Struthio camelus: one gene and its partner. The protein of the gene in region 1 interacts with the protein of each later gene in a pairwise test. Links are inferred from orthologs where the notes say so. Each region holds a gene or a part of one and is shown on either strand. Other genes may lie near its edges. The genes, in order: NPAS2 and BMAL1.

Region 1 (7,441 bases):
TCTCAGAAATAGCTGAACCATTTTATCTGAAACTTCCCAAAGAGATTCTGACTTCAGCAAATACTCAAACCAGAAAATGTCAGCCTACTTTTAAGCTTAGCAGATGCATAAGCACCTGAAACCAGAGCATTATACTGGAGAAGTACCAGATAAGATTAACTGTGGGCAACATTTCTACCTATGATAAAATAATGATTCTTACTCCAAGTGAAATGAATTCAAGTGTTCTTGCATGCCCTGGCCTAGAAAATGGGGCATGAGACATAATTCTGTGAAGTGCAGTGTGTGGGTTCAGCCTTGCACACATGCAGAGCAGCACCTTTATTCTTGAGGAAAAGTACTTTTAGGCAAGTCTACTGTCGGCATGGTTTGCGGTAGGTTGTAGAAATGCTGCTGGCTTGGGGAATCACCCTGGCGTCCGATACCTGGTTTTGAAAAAACTTAATTACACATGCTCAATGGGGATGGTGTATAGCTTGGCAATTACATTCTCTGAAGATTGCTGTTTCCAGGCCATCCCTGCAGAGCAACTCCGTGTCAATATTCATTTACAGAAATGTAGGCAGGATTGGGCCCTTAGCCAGCCGACAGCTTTCAGAACCAGATACGGATCAGCGGATGAACCGGCTCCGTCCAGAAACTGTGAACGCTGATTATTTAGTACCACCAAACAAACTCCAACCACGGTGGGGTACAAATTAACATTTCACGCAGGGGTAAGAGCGAGAGAATTTTCCACTTCAGGATCCAGCCACTTGTTGAGCGTGCGCCGAAAGCTCACGTTAGCCATGCTCCTCCGGGGGAATCCCATAGCCCTTCTGGAGATTTAGCACCATGAAAAGATTAAAGTTCCTCTGCTGGCTGCAATGCTTATAACCGCTAATTATTTCTGAGTCACTTGAGTGAAAGTAAACTGCTATCCTGCAGACAGTTAAGGAGTACCCAGTAAAGTTTACGGATGAGCGTGCTTGCTAATTGCCAAATCAGACTAGCGACCATACAGGAAAGCCTCACCGCACAACTCCGCATGAAAGACGTGCCGTGTTGCCGCTCGGCCGTGTATTTAACATTTCTCCCCCCCCAGTTCTGCGCACGAAAGGAAAGCAAGCAGGAGCCTGGCACACGGTTTCAGCAGCAGGGCTCCTGCAGCAAAGGACACAACCTCTGGTCCCCACCACGAACCTTCACCCATGCAAAAATCCCATTGCTCTTACTGGAAGTTTTCCTCGCCTGAACCGTGCCAGGTCCCTTCTCAGCCCCTGCGCCGGTCTAGCCTGAACGAGCCTATGGCGGCAGCAAATTGCAAACTACACCAAAACGAGATGGGGGCGGGGGGCATTTTATTTCGCTCAGACTGATGGGCCAAGCCTGCTCTGCACCAGGTCTCGCTGGCGGCCGGGCCAGGCCGCATGGGCCCGTCCCCGCAGGGACCGGCTGCCCCCAGCGCGGGCCACGCGGAAACTTTCCCGCGGCGGAAGCGATGCCGCCCGCGCCGCCGGACACGCTGCTCCCCCCTCTCCCCCCGCGCGGGGAGCGGCGCCGACCCCAAACCACCCTGCCGCGAAGAGGGGCGCCGCGGGGCCGGCCCTTACTCACGGAGCCCGGGAAGAGCGCGGGAGGTGGGGGGGGTGCGAGCGCGGCGCGTGGGCGTCCTGCGTGGGCGCCGCGGGTGGACGCGGCGGGGGGGGGGGTCGGTGCCGGCGGCAGGGCCGCGCGTTACCTGGGGTGCCGGGGCTGCGGGAGGGCGGCGGGGAAGCCCCAACCGCCGCCGCCGCCGCCGCTGCTGCTGCTGTCCGCGGTGGCCACCTGGGCGCGGGAGCCGCCGGTGCCGCCGCTTTTCCGGTGCCTGCCGGTACCGCTGCGGCAGCGGCCGCCGCTGCTGCTCCAGCCGCTCGGCAGGCCGGCCTCGGGAGCCGGCAAACTCTTCCTCGCAGCCGACGAGCCGGGGACGCTGCCCGCCGCCGCCTGCCTGCCGCCGGTGCCGGTGCCGTGTCTCATGGTGCGCGGGGCCGCCGCATGCCGCGCTGCCGCCTGCCCGGGCGCCGCGGGACCCACGCGCGCCGGGGCCAGGGGCTCCGCCGGCAGCGGGAGGCCGCCGGGAGCCCGGGCTGCTGCCGAGGGGGGGGGAGGAGGAGGAGGAGGAGGAGGGGGAGGAGGCCGGGGGGGACCAGGGGGGCTGCTGGCTCGGGCTCCCGCTGGTGCATTAAGTTAAATGCGCGGCCGGGAGGGGCAGGGCGGGCGCGGGGACTGCGGGGCCGATAGTTCTCCGCAAAGTTGGAGCCCCGCGGGCGAGGCGGGGGCATCCTCTCCGCGGGTCCTTCATCGCCGTCCTCCTCCTCCTCCTCGTCGTCGTCGTCGTCGTCGCCGGCGGGCTGCCGCCCCGCACCCTCAGCCGGCGGCGCTGGGGGGGCGCGCCCCACGCCCCGCGCCCATGGGGAGCCGCGGCCGCGGGGGCTGGCGGCGGCGCGCAAGGGCCGTGCTCGCCCGCGCCGGCTTCCTCTCTACCAGGGAAGGAAAGGGGTGGGGGGGGGAGCCCAAACCCGACGCTTGTGTGCAAAATGGGTCAGGGAGGGGGGAAAAGGGGAGCTGCGGATTGCGTGCCCCCTCCCCTCTTTGGAGAGCGGCGGGCTTTGGGGAGGGACGGGCTGGGGAGGTGGGTAGCGAAAGGGCTGCAGAGGAGCTCTCCCTCCCCGTCTCCGTTTGCACAAGTGCAGGGAATGTTCCACTGACCTACATATTTTTCCAAACATACGTGACCTTTTTTTTTTCTCTCTCTCTCTCTCTCTCTCTCTCTCGTTCTGTGGGAGGAGACAGGCGAAGATCCAAGAAAAGGAGAAGCTGGAAAGAGAACGAAAGGGGAAGCAGGGGAAAAAAAAAAAAATCAACCAAAAACCCAGCCCGAAATCAAGGATGGTTTCGCAACGCCTCGAGCAAAGCCCGGCGTGCCTGCATTTACGTATGTCTATAGCTATAACCCGGCGGTCACCGGCGGCCGCCCCTATAGCCTGACCCCAGGAGGCGCCTCCACGCCAGCCGCCCACGGTGCCGCCGTCCCCGCCGGGCAGGGCTGCGCCCAGGTGCTCTGCTGCCCGGGGCTGCCGGCCCGGCCCGGCCCGGCTCGGCTCGGCTCGGCACAGCCCGCCCCGGCTGGCACGGCTTCGCCTGGCGGACTGCGGACACCCACTCCCCCCGCCCCAGCCGCTCGCCCCCGGGCAGGGGCAGGCAGCCCCGGCCGGCGGAGGGGTGACCGGGGGGCGGCCCCGGCTCCGTGCCCGTGGGTGGCCGCGGGAGCCCAGCCGGGCCGGGCCGGGCCCCGCAGCACGGCGCTGCCCCGGGGCAGGCTCTCCGCCTCGCCGGGCACGGGGCAGTAATTCCCGATTTGGTTATGCAACGCCGTACCGGCAATTAGAGCAAAACCTTGACAGAGAGCTGCTTTTTTTTTTTTTTTCTCCCCCCAAAGTAGGTCATTCTTTTTATTCCCCACTTTGCATTATTTTTGCCTAATACTCCTCCTGAAACGTAGCCAGTGTGAGATAAGGAAATATGCTGGAGCCTAGGAGGGGCCGTTTATTTTGGGGCTCGCTTTCTCCCCGCTGGGCAGTCAGTCCTGCTGTCTTCTGCCTGGGGCAGCGAGCAAGGCCGAGGGGCTGCCCCCCGGGACAGGAGGGCAGCAGTGGCAGCGGCGTGGGGACACGGCACTGCCCCCCTCATTTCCCTGGTGTGTGCCGAGACCCGCTGCTCCGGCACCTGCCGACAGCAGCAGGAGCCGGGGCCGGGAGCCCTGCCACCACGGCCGGCTCTGCAGGGAGCCCGGGCTTCACCCCTTGCCCCGCAGCCCCCGCCACACCCGGGGCTCCCGGCTCTGCTCTGTGTCTGCACGGCCAAAAAAACCCATTGCTCTGCTGGAGAAAGGCCTGGAGTAGGTACTTCTTGCACCTGCCAAAGGGTTGGCCTGCTAGCACGAGGTATTTGCTTTTTAGGGTAGCCGTTTCTGTTGTTGAGAGCAGTGAGGAAAAGCCCCGTAGGCTGGTGCCAGCTGTGTCTCCACCAGCAGGTCCTGCTATACCTGTGGCAGCAGAGTTGGTGTGGTGGGAGCTGTTTCCCTTCTCCTTTGCTCTGTTCTGCCTCGTTATCAGAGACACGTTAAGCCATGTAAAATAATAGCCAGCAGAGACCTCTCTGCCCACACCAAGTCTGCCTGTGTGGGCGCAGTGTGTGGGTTGAAGGTTGCTCCAGCCACCTGGCTCCAGAAAAGAGCCTCGCGGCTTTGCACAGCTATATGGCCTTTGCAGCTACCCCAGTTATCCTGCGGTGACACCCAGCGTCCCCCACCCCACCCCCCCCCCCGCCGATGGCATATCTAGCTAGTTATATGATTTGATTTATTCCTGAACGCAAATGTTAATGATTACAAAGTATGGAAAAATGTTACGTTCTTTTAGCTGAGCACTTTTACACCACCGTACTTTATACAACAGGCATGACTAATGTTGAAAGGGTAACGTTGTTTACTTTTAACCAAGATTAAATACAAAACTTTGAAAGCTCCTCCCTTCCTTTGGATGAAACCCAGTATTTTTTCCCATTTGGAAATTGTCAAACAGTGGTTAAACAATCCTTTGGCAAACAAGTAGTGCCTGAGGGAATAAACCATCAGATACATGGAGAGTGGAATAAAAGACATTTCTCTTTCTGAGGTATTTTTCTTGTATTGCACAACGAAGTATAGCGTAAGATCTTCAAGCCTTGTAAGGTCAGAGAAGAGGAACTTCCCAAGATTATATATCACCTGCTTTGATATTCCAGTCCTTCTGAAAACAGAACAAAACCTTGCCCCCAAACGGCTATGCACTTTCAAAAACTGTAAAAACAAGTGCCTTAAGGTAAATACCATGCTGAGAAAGGCAATCTGCAAGACATAGGAGCACATATACAAAATTATACCTGTGCCTTACTTTAGCGTTTTCCCTGTAAATTCGTAATGACTTCATTGCACAAGTGAAAATGTGAAATTGGTTAAGGTTTGTTTATTAATTCATTCCCTAGGTTACCACAGTAAACTTTAATTAGGGCAACAATCAGCAGCTTGGCTGAGGGCAAGGCAGGGTTTTCCCAGCACATACCTGAGTTCCATTGTGAAACACTAACCATTCAAAACACACATAATTTTTATTAGACTAGTTACCGATGGGAAATAACAAAATACTGTCAGTGCTGTATTTTGTGTGGAAATTACCCAGAGGACTAGATGCCGCATATAAGAAATTGAGGGAAAGAGCCCAACGTTTTATTTTAAAACTTGAAAACATTTTATAGTCACAAAATGTCTGTAAACTACTTTTCAGACATCAGGAGTCTATGATCCAATGTAGTAATCCCTTTTGTTTTGACTAGAATAGGCTGGCTAACCTTCACCGCCCAGCAATGACACATCAGTGGTTGCAATGGCCCGGGAACCACAAGGTAGGTGCCTCCCAGGGTGGAGGGCCAAAGGGAAGAGCAGGAGATGACGGTAGCCCCCGGCCCCGGGGACCTCACTGCTCCATTGTGGAGAGTGCATGGGAGGGATGTGGAACCGGGTGCGATCACAGCCCGGACATGCTGTCTTTAACTCTGCTAGCTTACTTTCCCTCACTGCCAGGGATGTGAACTGTGCAGTGCCACCACCGCCACATGATGTAACCCTCAGCTTCACCCCCGTGAACATTTCTCAGCTGACAACCTGGAAGTCAAGCAGAGATATTACCTATGCGATATGAACGCTTTTAACATTTAATGGACCCAAGTATGTGTTGCTGAGAGGTGAAAGGCAATTTGTAACCAATATTTCACATATAAAGCCTATATTTGGATTAGTGCTTGTGCATATGTAAAAGGGGGCCCTCAAAATAATAATCCTGTAGCATAAGTAGCAAAAATGGCGCAAAAGTCATGGCATTGTGGGGCGAGGGGGATGATAAAAAAGAATAAAGGACCCTCAAAGAGAAGACCAGCTTGCACAAAGATATTCTCTTAAGTTTTCAATTAAGGAGGAAGAAGATGGACAAGGATTAACTTGTTTAATATTACCCTAGTATTAATTAAAGGATAGGACAGACTTCAGGCTGCTTGCTTCCCTACCTTCCATGTCAAAAGAAGCAGCAACAAGGATAAACCCAGGTCAAATAAATCTAGGGGCTTCTATTAATTGAAGCAGTTGCACAAGCAGTTCCTAGTGGGAAATACACTGCTTTCTAGCATGGAGGTGAGCATGGGAGTGGGTGGACAGATGTGAGGAGCTACTTCTTTGTGCAAAACACTTCTGTAACCAATTTTGGCAGAAATTTCTGCAGAGAGGAACACTTTCTAGAGAATCAGCACTACTTTTCAATCTGCAGCTTATAACTTCCCAAAGGAGGGAGAGATAGTACATATCAACCAGCAGCACAGCCTCTGAATCAAGGAAAGGCAGAGAGATGCCAGAGAGAAATGGACTTCAAATGTGGTGGTGCTGCTGCAAGAGTAAGATGTCTGATGGGTCTTCAGGCTCTGTTCAGCTAGCAAGCCGAACTCCTTGTTTTTCTGCACAGTTATTAAAAGAGAAGAACCGATTTGTTGATTTGACCTTTCTTTAGCCTTTTCAAGCAAAATTTTATCCATTCCCAAGGTTTTCACAGAAGAACATAGTATAATAGGCAACCTACCTGAAGGTTTGATTTTTCCATCTTATGCAACCAAGGGTTTGCAGGTTTTCTTTAAGTGGTTAGTGCAAGGAGCGGGGAAAGGAAGAAGGCATGGGCTGAAAAAATCAGCGACTAAATATTGAATAGATTTCATGTCTAGAACATCTGGAATTGTTGCTGGGGGTGAAGAAAGCCTTAAAGCCTACCAGGGCCCTACAGTCCGGTGGCTGAGCATTTACAGCCTTCCTGTGAAGTGAAGCAGTCCTGGAGCCTGAGCTGTACGTATGCATTCAATTGCCATGGAGCGTACTGCATGTGTGTGGCAGCTCGGAGAGCCAAAGCTCAAGGCTGCGGAAATAATTGTTCCTCGTGTGTGAAAGATGAGATGATCCTCTCATTCTCCGGCTGACAATGCCCTTTGTTCCTGTGGACCTCTTGGCCCATACGAGACATTTCACTCACTCCCGCCAGGATGGGAATACGTCCCATGGCAAAGTCCTGTTTCAGAGGGACTGCACTGGTTAATACGGAATAATGGCCTGGCAGTACCTACGAGAAACACTCAGTTCCAAAATCAGGCTGATTGAGCTTGTTTAGCTTTGACAGCTGTTCAAGAAAATGAAGTTCAATTTCAAACCCTAGAGAAAAGGATCTGCTATTTTTCTCTGGAAATCACAATGAAACAGAAGATAATAAAGGGTTATAGTGCCACAGTCTTTGAATTAAGAATGGCTGGGAGAAGTCTGAACACAGATGTAGCATCTGCAGCCTTACCTCGA
Region 2 (8,083 bases), on another chromosome or scaffold:
AGCTAAAAATGAGAAGTTATAGAACAAAAACAAAAAACCCACCTCTAACCAATCTGCCAAATTCAGCCTGGGTTACTCAATAACAATGAATTCCTTCAGATTTTCCTATACCTCCTATTAAAATATTATCATATACAGTTAGGTCTACATTGAAAACAACTTAAAACGCTCAAATAGAGCATGAAACCAGTGCTTTTGTAATCATATAAACTGATTAACCTACAGGTGTCTCATTATTTTCATTGTGCTTGATAGCAATTCACTTTTAAAGACTGTCTCATTCGTCTGCAGCACACAGGCTGCAGCTATCGTATTAGGTTTCAGCTCCATCAGTCTTGCATAGTATTAAGGCATTGTGTAGAACTAAGCTCTACCACGAAAATCCTGTGAACATTCATTTGTTCCTACTCTTTACTGTAGAAAGATAATACTCTCCACTCTTTCCATGCTTGTCCCTGGTTTCCTGCCATCAAAAGAATCTTCAAAAACAGGTATCTGTAAGAAAAAAATATCTCCAACAAACTGCCCCTACAAATATCACCTTCTTGGCCTTGGCAAAGGTTCCCAAATACAGCAGGTATCTTAATAGCAGGTGGTGGCAGGCCCTAACTTCAGCTCTGGTTTTGCAGAATCCCAGCTACATCTAAATTAATCTCCTGACACCCCCAAAGGCCCTTGTAGGGAAGAACAAAATAAAGCAGTTATCCTTAGGTTCTCTATGGTGTTCCCCTCTCGTTCATGTAATCTCTAGATGTACTGTTCTTTTCTTTCAAGAAAACAAAAAAAAAAAAAAAAAAAAGAAAAACACAGACCTCGAGCTTACTAGATACCATCCTCTGAAACTGTGATGGGGACAGACAATGGAAATAGGCTGTGTAAAAGAATACAGGATGAAACAATATATTAATCTATAACCACAACATTTTATTGGGTTATTTTACAGTCCATTTCCACAAGTAGGCATAAAATCATGAATGGTCATGAGAAGTATAAAACCACAAAGCTTAGAAGATGGAAAAGCTTTCCTCTTAATAGGCAAATACTGGTTTAGAATAGTCATATGAGAGCTCTACAGCTTCTGACGCTTCAAATAATGATTTACATTTGCATACCCTTGCAAATACCAAACATCCACATTCTTCGGGGAGCAATGTTTAACCTCAGCCTTCTGCTAGACTATTTACAAAGACAGTTAGCCAGTACTAATAGTCAATTGAAGCAAACAAAACAACTTTCTTTTTTCCCCCTACAGACCTGGCTGCAGTCTATGCATTATCAATTGCTCCCATTTACAAGACCTCTTCAATTAAAAAAACCAAACTATAGTAAACAGGCAGAATAGGCTACTTTAATGCTAACCTATCAAAAACAAATTAAGAAGTAGCTTCATTTTGAATGTTTAAGGACCAACGTTTGGAAGAAATTTTTATTTAAAGCCTGAATGAATTCTACAAAGAAACTGGAGTTCAAAATCATTTACAAAGATGACAGCTATCTGCAGTCGCCCTTTTCTACCCCAGATACTAAGCAAGTTACTTAAAAACTGCTAATAGTATATCTACTTCAAAAACAAGCAAACACACCCACTTGCTTCTTGTAAAAATACTACAACGTTATTTTCAGGTACTAAGAGGTTTATAAAGCTAGTATAATTGAGGCATTGGAATAACAGAAACTTCAGTCATGAAAAACACAATTTGTTCCACAAAAATAAAAAAACGAAATCCTGATCGCAAGAAGCCACTTTAACTGTTGTCAGTATTCTACTTTCACTTTCAAAGAAAAACGTTCCTTCTTAGCAAAAGATACACATACGGCTGTCAGACACAGAGGGCTGAGAAGTAACAGCACCAGACGGGACAGCCTGAGGACCCTAACTTAACCATAAAACATTCATCTCACAAGGAGAGGAGGTAACTGGGCTGTACTGTTAGTAAAAGCAAGAAATCCCACAGCGGCTCTCCATGTGGCTCTAGCTGTCTGCAGGTAGGACTGGCCTCCGTGTCAGAGACTCACAGTCTATCGAGATTTCCAACTACCACCGTCGTTGAGGTGTTAAATACATACACTCCTCGCGCCCCACATAAAGCTGGCTTCAACGCAGGGCACCTGATTCATTGACAAAGATCAAAGGGATCACCTGCGGGACAGAGGCCGAGGGGACCCATCCCTGCTGCAGGGGAGGGAGCACCAACCTCTCGCTACTCCGTGACTTACCTCAGCCACCACACACTCACCCTTAGACGAGGCAAACTCGAGATGGGAAGCAGCAGAGCTAGCGCTGCCACCCCCGAGCTCCAGGAGCCCCGTTCCTGCCCCTTCCTTACTCCCAAGGAGGCGCCGTCGCCAGGACCCCACGGCCCCGGCTCTGCCCTAGGGGCCGGGGCCGGCTGCAAACGGCGGAGGCGGCTGCCGCCCGTCCCGTCCCGCCCCGCCCCGCCCTCTCCGGCTCCCGCCGCACCGAGGCGGCCCGCGCCGCGGCCGCCGCATTCGCCCCCCTCGCTCCGAGGGGCGCCGCCGCCGCCCGGGCCCGGCCACCTCCCCGCGGAGAAGTCGCAGCCCCCGCCTCCCCCGGCGCAGGCGGGCAGCTCCCCCGTGGCCTGCCGCAGGCGGCAGCTCCAGCGGGGCAGCGGAGGGACCGGCCAACCCCGCCCTCCAGGGGGCGACCCCCGCCACCTCGCCAGCGCGAGCCGCGGACTGCCCCTCTCCCCCGCCCCCCCCCCCGCGCGCCCCCCAAACGGTCGCCCACCGGCCGCCTAACGGCTCACCGCGGGCTCACGCGCCCCCGCGGCCGAGGGGGCGGGGGGAGGAGAGGGTCGCTGTCCCTCGGCGGCGCGCGGCGCAGGCAGCCCCCGTCCCTGACCTACTTTCCGCCTGGCTTGCCACCCAACGTCGCACCACTAACCTACTTTCCAGCCAATGGCACCCTCCTTCGGCCCCGGACCGGACGCGCCGGTCCGCCAACGGGCGAGCGGCTCTCCGGCGGCTCTGCCCAATGGCCGGCCAGGCGGGCAGGCAACGCCCGCCCTCCTAAACAGCAGCTAATCCCCGGGCGCCCCCGAGAAGCCAGCCAATCAGAAAGGCGGCTGGGACCTTCAGTCCCGCCTCCTAGCCGCGGGGGAGGCGCGTGCGCGGTGGGGGGGGGGGCGGTTGCGCGGGGGACCCGGATGTGGCGCTCGCGGCGTGGCGGTTTTGGCGGTTGCTTCTCCTGTGGTGTTCCCTGGTGGTGCGCGCAGCGGCGGGCGGAGCGCTGTGCTGCGAGCTGCTCGTCCTTATTCCCTTCAGCAGCCTCACTGCCGCCGCCGTGACTCACCCGTGGCTCTACGTCATTGGTGTGACATCGTCCCGTGCCGTGGCGTCACTTCTGAAGCATCAAGGTCACCGCGGCCTGCCGTGACGTCACTCGGCCTTGCTGCACTTTGCGACCGCCTGTTCTAGGCCTGCCCTCCCCACCTTCTGGCCCAGCATCCGCTGCCGTGGCAAAGCGAGGGCCCATGCCGGCCTGTGTGGCGGCAGCTAAGGCCTGGCCACCTCCAGCATCCTTGTTGCCTCACGGAGCTGGGGGCTTCTCACAGCTGGCCAGAGGCAGTGCTGCCCAGCTCGGGGCAGACAGGCATGTGCCTCATTACTCTTCCAGCATGGACTCCCTGCCCTCGCTGTTTTTCAGCATGACCTGACCATGATTGTCCTGTCATGCTATGCTCCTTCTATCCTACTGCCTCCTCGGCTGCATCCGTAGACTGCAAGGTCGTTCTCAATGACGTCCACCTTCTTTAGCAAACCGCAGCATTGTATCTGCCTCACGTTGCTGTATTGTATGTATATGTTCTTGTATATGATATGACATCTATAAGTTGCTATTGCATCACGTGCACATCATATTTGATGAGACCTCCTTCTTCACTGCACCCTTCAGAATGTCACAGAAGCACATGTACGATGCTGCCCTCAGTTTTACTGCCATAAATGCTATGTCATCTCAGAATGTGACTCTCTAATGCACTGTAAGCTGCAATAATTTTTTTCGGTGTTTAAAAAGGCCAGTGGCAGAGCATGGTAAAGCCGTCCACTACACCATTTTATAGTGCGAACTTAGATATCTTCTAATAATTGAGTCGGAAAACCATCATCCATGCGACAACGCTGGCATGTTAAGGGGATGTGTTGCAAGAACGAAGTTACAACGTAGTTGCAATCAAATGCAAATGTTGTTCAAATGTTACTGTTTTATTACTACGTCAGATTGTCATTGCCACATTATCATTGTCTTAACATTGACATTTCCTGTCTTGGGATGACGTGTCACAAATGTTTGGTTTATATTTACTAATACCACATCACCAGAGAAGTGTGGGTAGCGGTATTATCTAATTACAATGCAGTTGTGGTTATTCTAATCCACTGTCACAGAATGTGAACTCAACCTATGACAGCATTAAGGTTTAGTTTCCACCTAATTGACCTGGAACTCAGCACAGCCAAAAAGTGGCCCCTGTTGGATGCCAACTTCCTATTCACATCATGATATTCCTACTCAAGGAACAACCTTCCAGAAGAGCAAGGTAAATGGCATATCATATATTAACCAAATGAAAATGTGTACCGTGAAAAAAGGACACAATGCATCAGTTCTCGGGGACTGTTTTGCTGTTATTGCTTCCATTTGTTTTAGTGCGCAGAAGTTATGGAGGTGGAGAAATCTCCTTGACTACTTCTTTCTCACAAGCCTTTGTAGTTTTCATCATTGTTTCTACCCACCTGTAGAAAAAATCTTCCTTATACACTCAGTCACATACTGTCTCTTTTAATGAGCCCAGTGACTGTTGTAGGGAATGATGCCAAGAGTAATGATCTTTAGTTATTTCTGCAGGAAAGCAGCTTAGTGGGCCGCATGTCATAATTTCCCAGTAAATGATTATTTTGATTTGTTTATATACTGTACTTTCTATTCATGAGATATTAAAGAAAGTAACAGCATCTGGTGAATCAAATCCTTGTTTTCAGCATATGATGATATTACCACTCATATTCACTCATATTCTATACCTTTCTTTTTTAACAGATTATATCTTTAAGTTCCATGCAGGGAACTTCTCTCTGTATGTCAATAAAGCATTTTATAGATGACTATTACAGCTTAAAATGTTAAGCATGCAAAGTTTATCACTGAAGAGTTAAGAAATGACAGTTTGACATTTGATGAGATCTGAGTTCACTACTATTGGCAGAAAAGTTTGCTTCACCCTTCTACTACCCATTTATAAGCACGAAAAGTAAACAGGAGATGAGGCTTGAGCAAATCTATGATAGGTACATTTTCCTTAATGGAGAGTACTTGAAGGAGTACTTGAAGGTGAGATCACACCACAAAATGTGGACCATGCTTGAAAGACCTGCTCAGTGGTGTGTTCTGCTCAGGGCGCTGTGCTTCTGATTTGTCTGATTGACTCTGACCTGATTAATTTTCAGGTTTTACACTATTTTAGAGAAGATAGTAAACTAGACCTTAAGCAGAAATTTAACTGCCTCTTTAACGATATGCATAAGTAGGTTACACCCTACTTAAACACTGGAATTTAGACTAATTTCTGGCTTAACATTACAGTTTAAAAATGGGAGGAGAGTCTGCTGTGTGGTGATTGTACCGAAAATTGCATTTATTAATAGACTATTGAAACTACTAGCCTGTGTTCCCACCTATTCATTTTCTTCATTGTTTTCACATTTGAAGGCTATAGTAATCTTCCCTATTCCTAGATTTTTGACTTTGTATCAAGAAGAGTAGGGAGTATAATCTCCATGAAATACAGCTTATTTTAGATATAATGAGGCAATATATCAGTGGCTTCATTTTAGAATCTGCAAGTTTTCATCTAATTTTTGTATCCAACTATTGTTGCATACACAAAAAGAAGTCTAATTTCTCAAACCATTACCCAAAAGTTGAGAACATTTTTCTTTACCTTCAGACAGTGCCCAATATGTCTGTGTAACAACAACAGATGTTCAGAAATTCAGAAGTAACCTGCCAAATTATTTCTTTGAAGTTTTAGTTGTGTTTTTTCTGAATCATGATTCATGACCCCAATTGGAGATACAGAGGGAGACAAATCTCTGAGTCTTTGGAGAATGAGTTTGTATAAGATAGTTTGGAAATATCATTTTATATATTTATTTTTGTAATGTTTTCCAAGACATATTATATATATATATTAGCACATAAATGTGGATGTAGCTGCTTTACAACATTTTAAACATCTGCTGTTTGTTTATAGATCTTTTGACCTAAAATAATAACCCTATTATTATACTCTTCTGTCTTACCCTTCTGTCCAGTCTCTTCCTCTATTTGATTCTTGGAAATTTACTGTGACATCCAGGCTATGATCTAAGTAGCAGCAGGAGAATTTATAGCTCATAGAAAATTAGCAAGACTTAATAACTTGATACTTGGATTTCTTGTTCTGTATATACTTAAAAAGAAGCCAGAGACATACTGAGCCACATTTCCCACCTTCTCATACAAAGGTAATGCTGTGCTTCAACTCAGTTGTGAGAACTGAGTGCTATGGCTCAGTATCATTTTGCAACTGGTTGCAAAAAACTCACAGGGATAGTCTATTTATTATAGTCTGTCACAACTCATGTGTGGCTGGCTTAAACTTCCTCTTTAAAACAGAAGTTTTGTCTCAGTGAGCAATAGCTTAATCATTCTTTTCAAGGTTCTTCAAATTCTTAATATATTACAACACCTAAGGTCGGGAAGTATAAGCTTTTCCTGTTTTTGTTTGTATAAACACTTGTCACTTTAAAACTGCTTACTTACTCCTGCCACAATATTTCCAAATTTGAGCATTAAAAATCACTAAATATAAAGTAACAAATACAGACTTTTTCATGTGCTTGCTTCTTTCTGAGATTTTAAAAACCATTTTTCATCTTTAAAACCTTTGTCTTAGTTACAGGAGCTAGAAGCTCATTTGAGAAAAAAGAGAAAGAAGATTCTTACACAATCTGTTGATTTCAGCCCTGTGGTCTCTTAAGAACACCAATTAATATTCTGAGATTCAGTAGGAACTCTCAAGAGTTGGCAATCCAGTATCTGGCAACGTAACAGGAAAAGGAAGAAGAATCTAATGAGGAAAATGAGATTAAGACCAGAAATTGTAAGTAATTCTCTGCAATATTTTTTCGATGTTTATGGAAGGCCCAATAAAAAAGCATTTGTATCTTTATTTGGATTTAAACTTACAAAGGTCAAACTGATTTCAATTTTTTTGCTCCATTACAAAGATACGGAGTTAATTTCAAGGCCAAATCAGGGTCTGTTTTTTTCAGAGACTGGAAGTATCTCAACTTGAAGCAGAGCTGTTTTAAATTTTATTGAAGAGAATACCTTAAATTAAATAAGAAAAAATTTCCATCAGAGGCTTATCTTTAATATTTTTCTTTTTTTCTAAGATTTTATCAAAATATATACTAAAGATTTATTTACCATTTTTGTTGATACATAAAAAACTTTAACCATCCTTATAATGATCTTGATCCAACACCATATTCCTTTCTTATATTTAAGCATCATAGAAAAACCTGAAGTGAATTACTGTAAGATTTTTGCCTCCAAAAAAGTTTCTATCAGCAATTTTGTTAAAATAGAATTAGTCCTATCTGACCTATCTGACTGTCTTGAAATTGATGGCCACATTACTTCATCGTTTATTGAGGACAGAAAGATCCAGTGTGGAGTCTTACTGTCTTTTTCGGGAAGGGGATGTCACAGCTTTGTATGGTCTGCTGTCACTGCATCCTTGAATCAGAGTAATCTGTTTCTTTCTTACTATCAAGAAAATCTATAGCTAGCTCTTTTCGTTTCTCATCCAGCCTGTTTCTTTAGGAGAGTAGTGGCAACTTCACTTCAACGGTGGTATGCTTGAAGCACTGAAAGAAATTCTGTTCAGCGTCAGTTCCTGCATTTCAGCAGAATAAGAATACTCCAGTTGGGCAAAGCTTACTGTATTATTGTAATAAGGCTTCATTATAAGAAAAGCAGAAGCTGTCAAATCCATAAGCTACGTTTTGCAGA

Evidence for each region.
Region 2: the proteins of NPAS2 (region 1) and BMAL1 interact in binary tests that used the Homo sapiens proteins (3 or more experiments, as listed by UniProt). The link is inferred for Struthio camelus from reciprocal best matches to the Homo sapiens genes NPAS2 and BMAL1.

What each region holds. Positions count from the first base shown.
Region 1 is NC_090942.1:152,094,572-152,102,012, reverse strand, and holds the start of NPAS2 (neuronal PAS domain-containing protein 2), read right to left. Parts: upstream 3,135-7,441; 5' UTR 1,999-3,134; coding exon 1,721-1,998; intron 1-1,720. UniProt on the Homo sapiens protein: Transcriptional activator which forms a core component of the circadian clock.
Region 2 is NC_090946.1:25,520,285-25,528,367, reverse strand, and holds the start of BMAL1 (basic helix-loop-helix ARNT-like protein 1), read right to left. Parts: upstream 3,006-8,083; 5' UTR 2,906-3,005; exon of another isoform or gene 2,769-2,905; intron 2,386-2,768; exon of another isoform or gene 2,238-2,385; intron 1-2,237. UniProt on the Homo sapiens protein: Transcriptional activator which forms a core component of the circadian clock.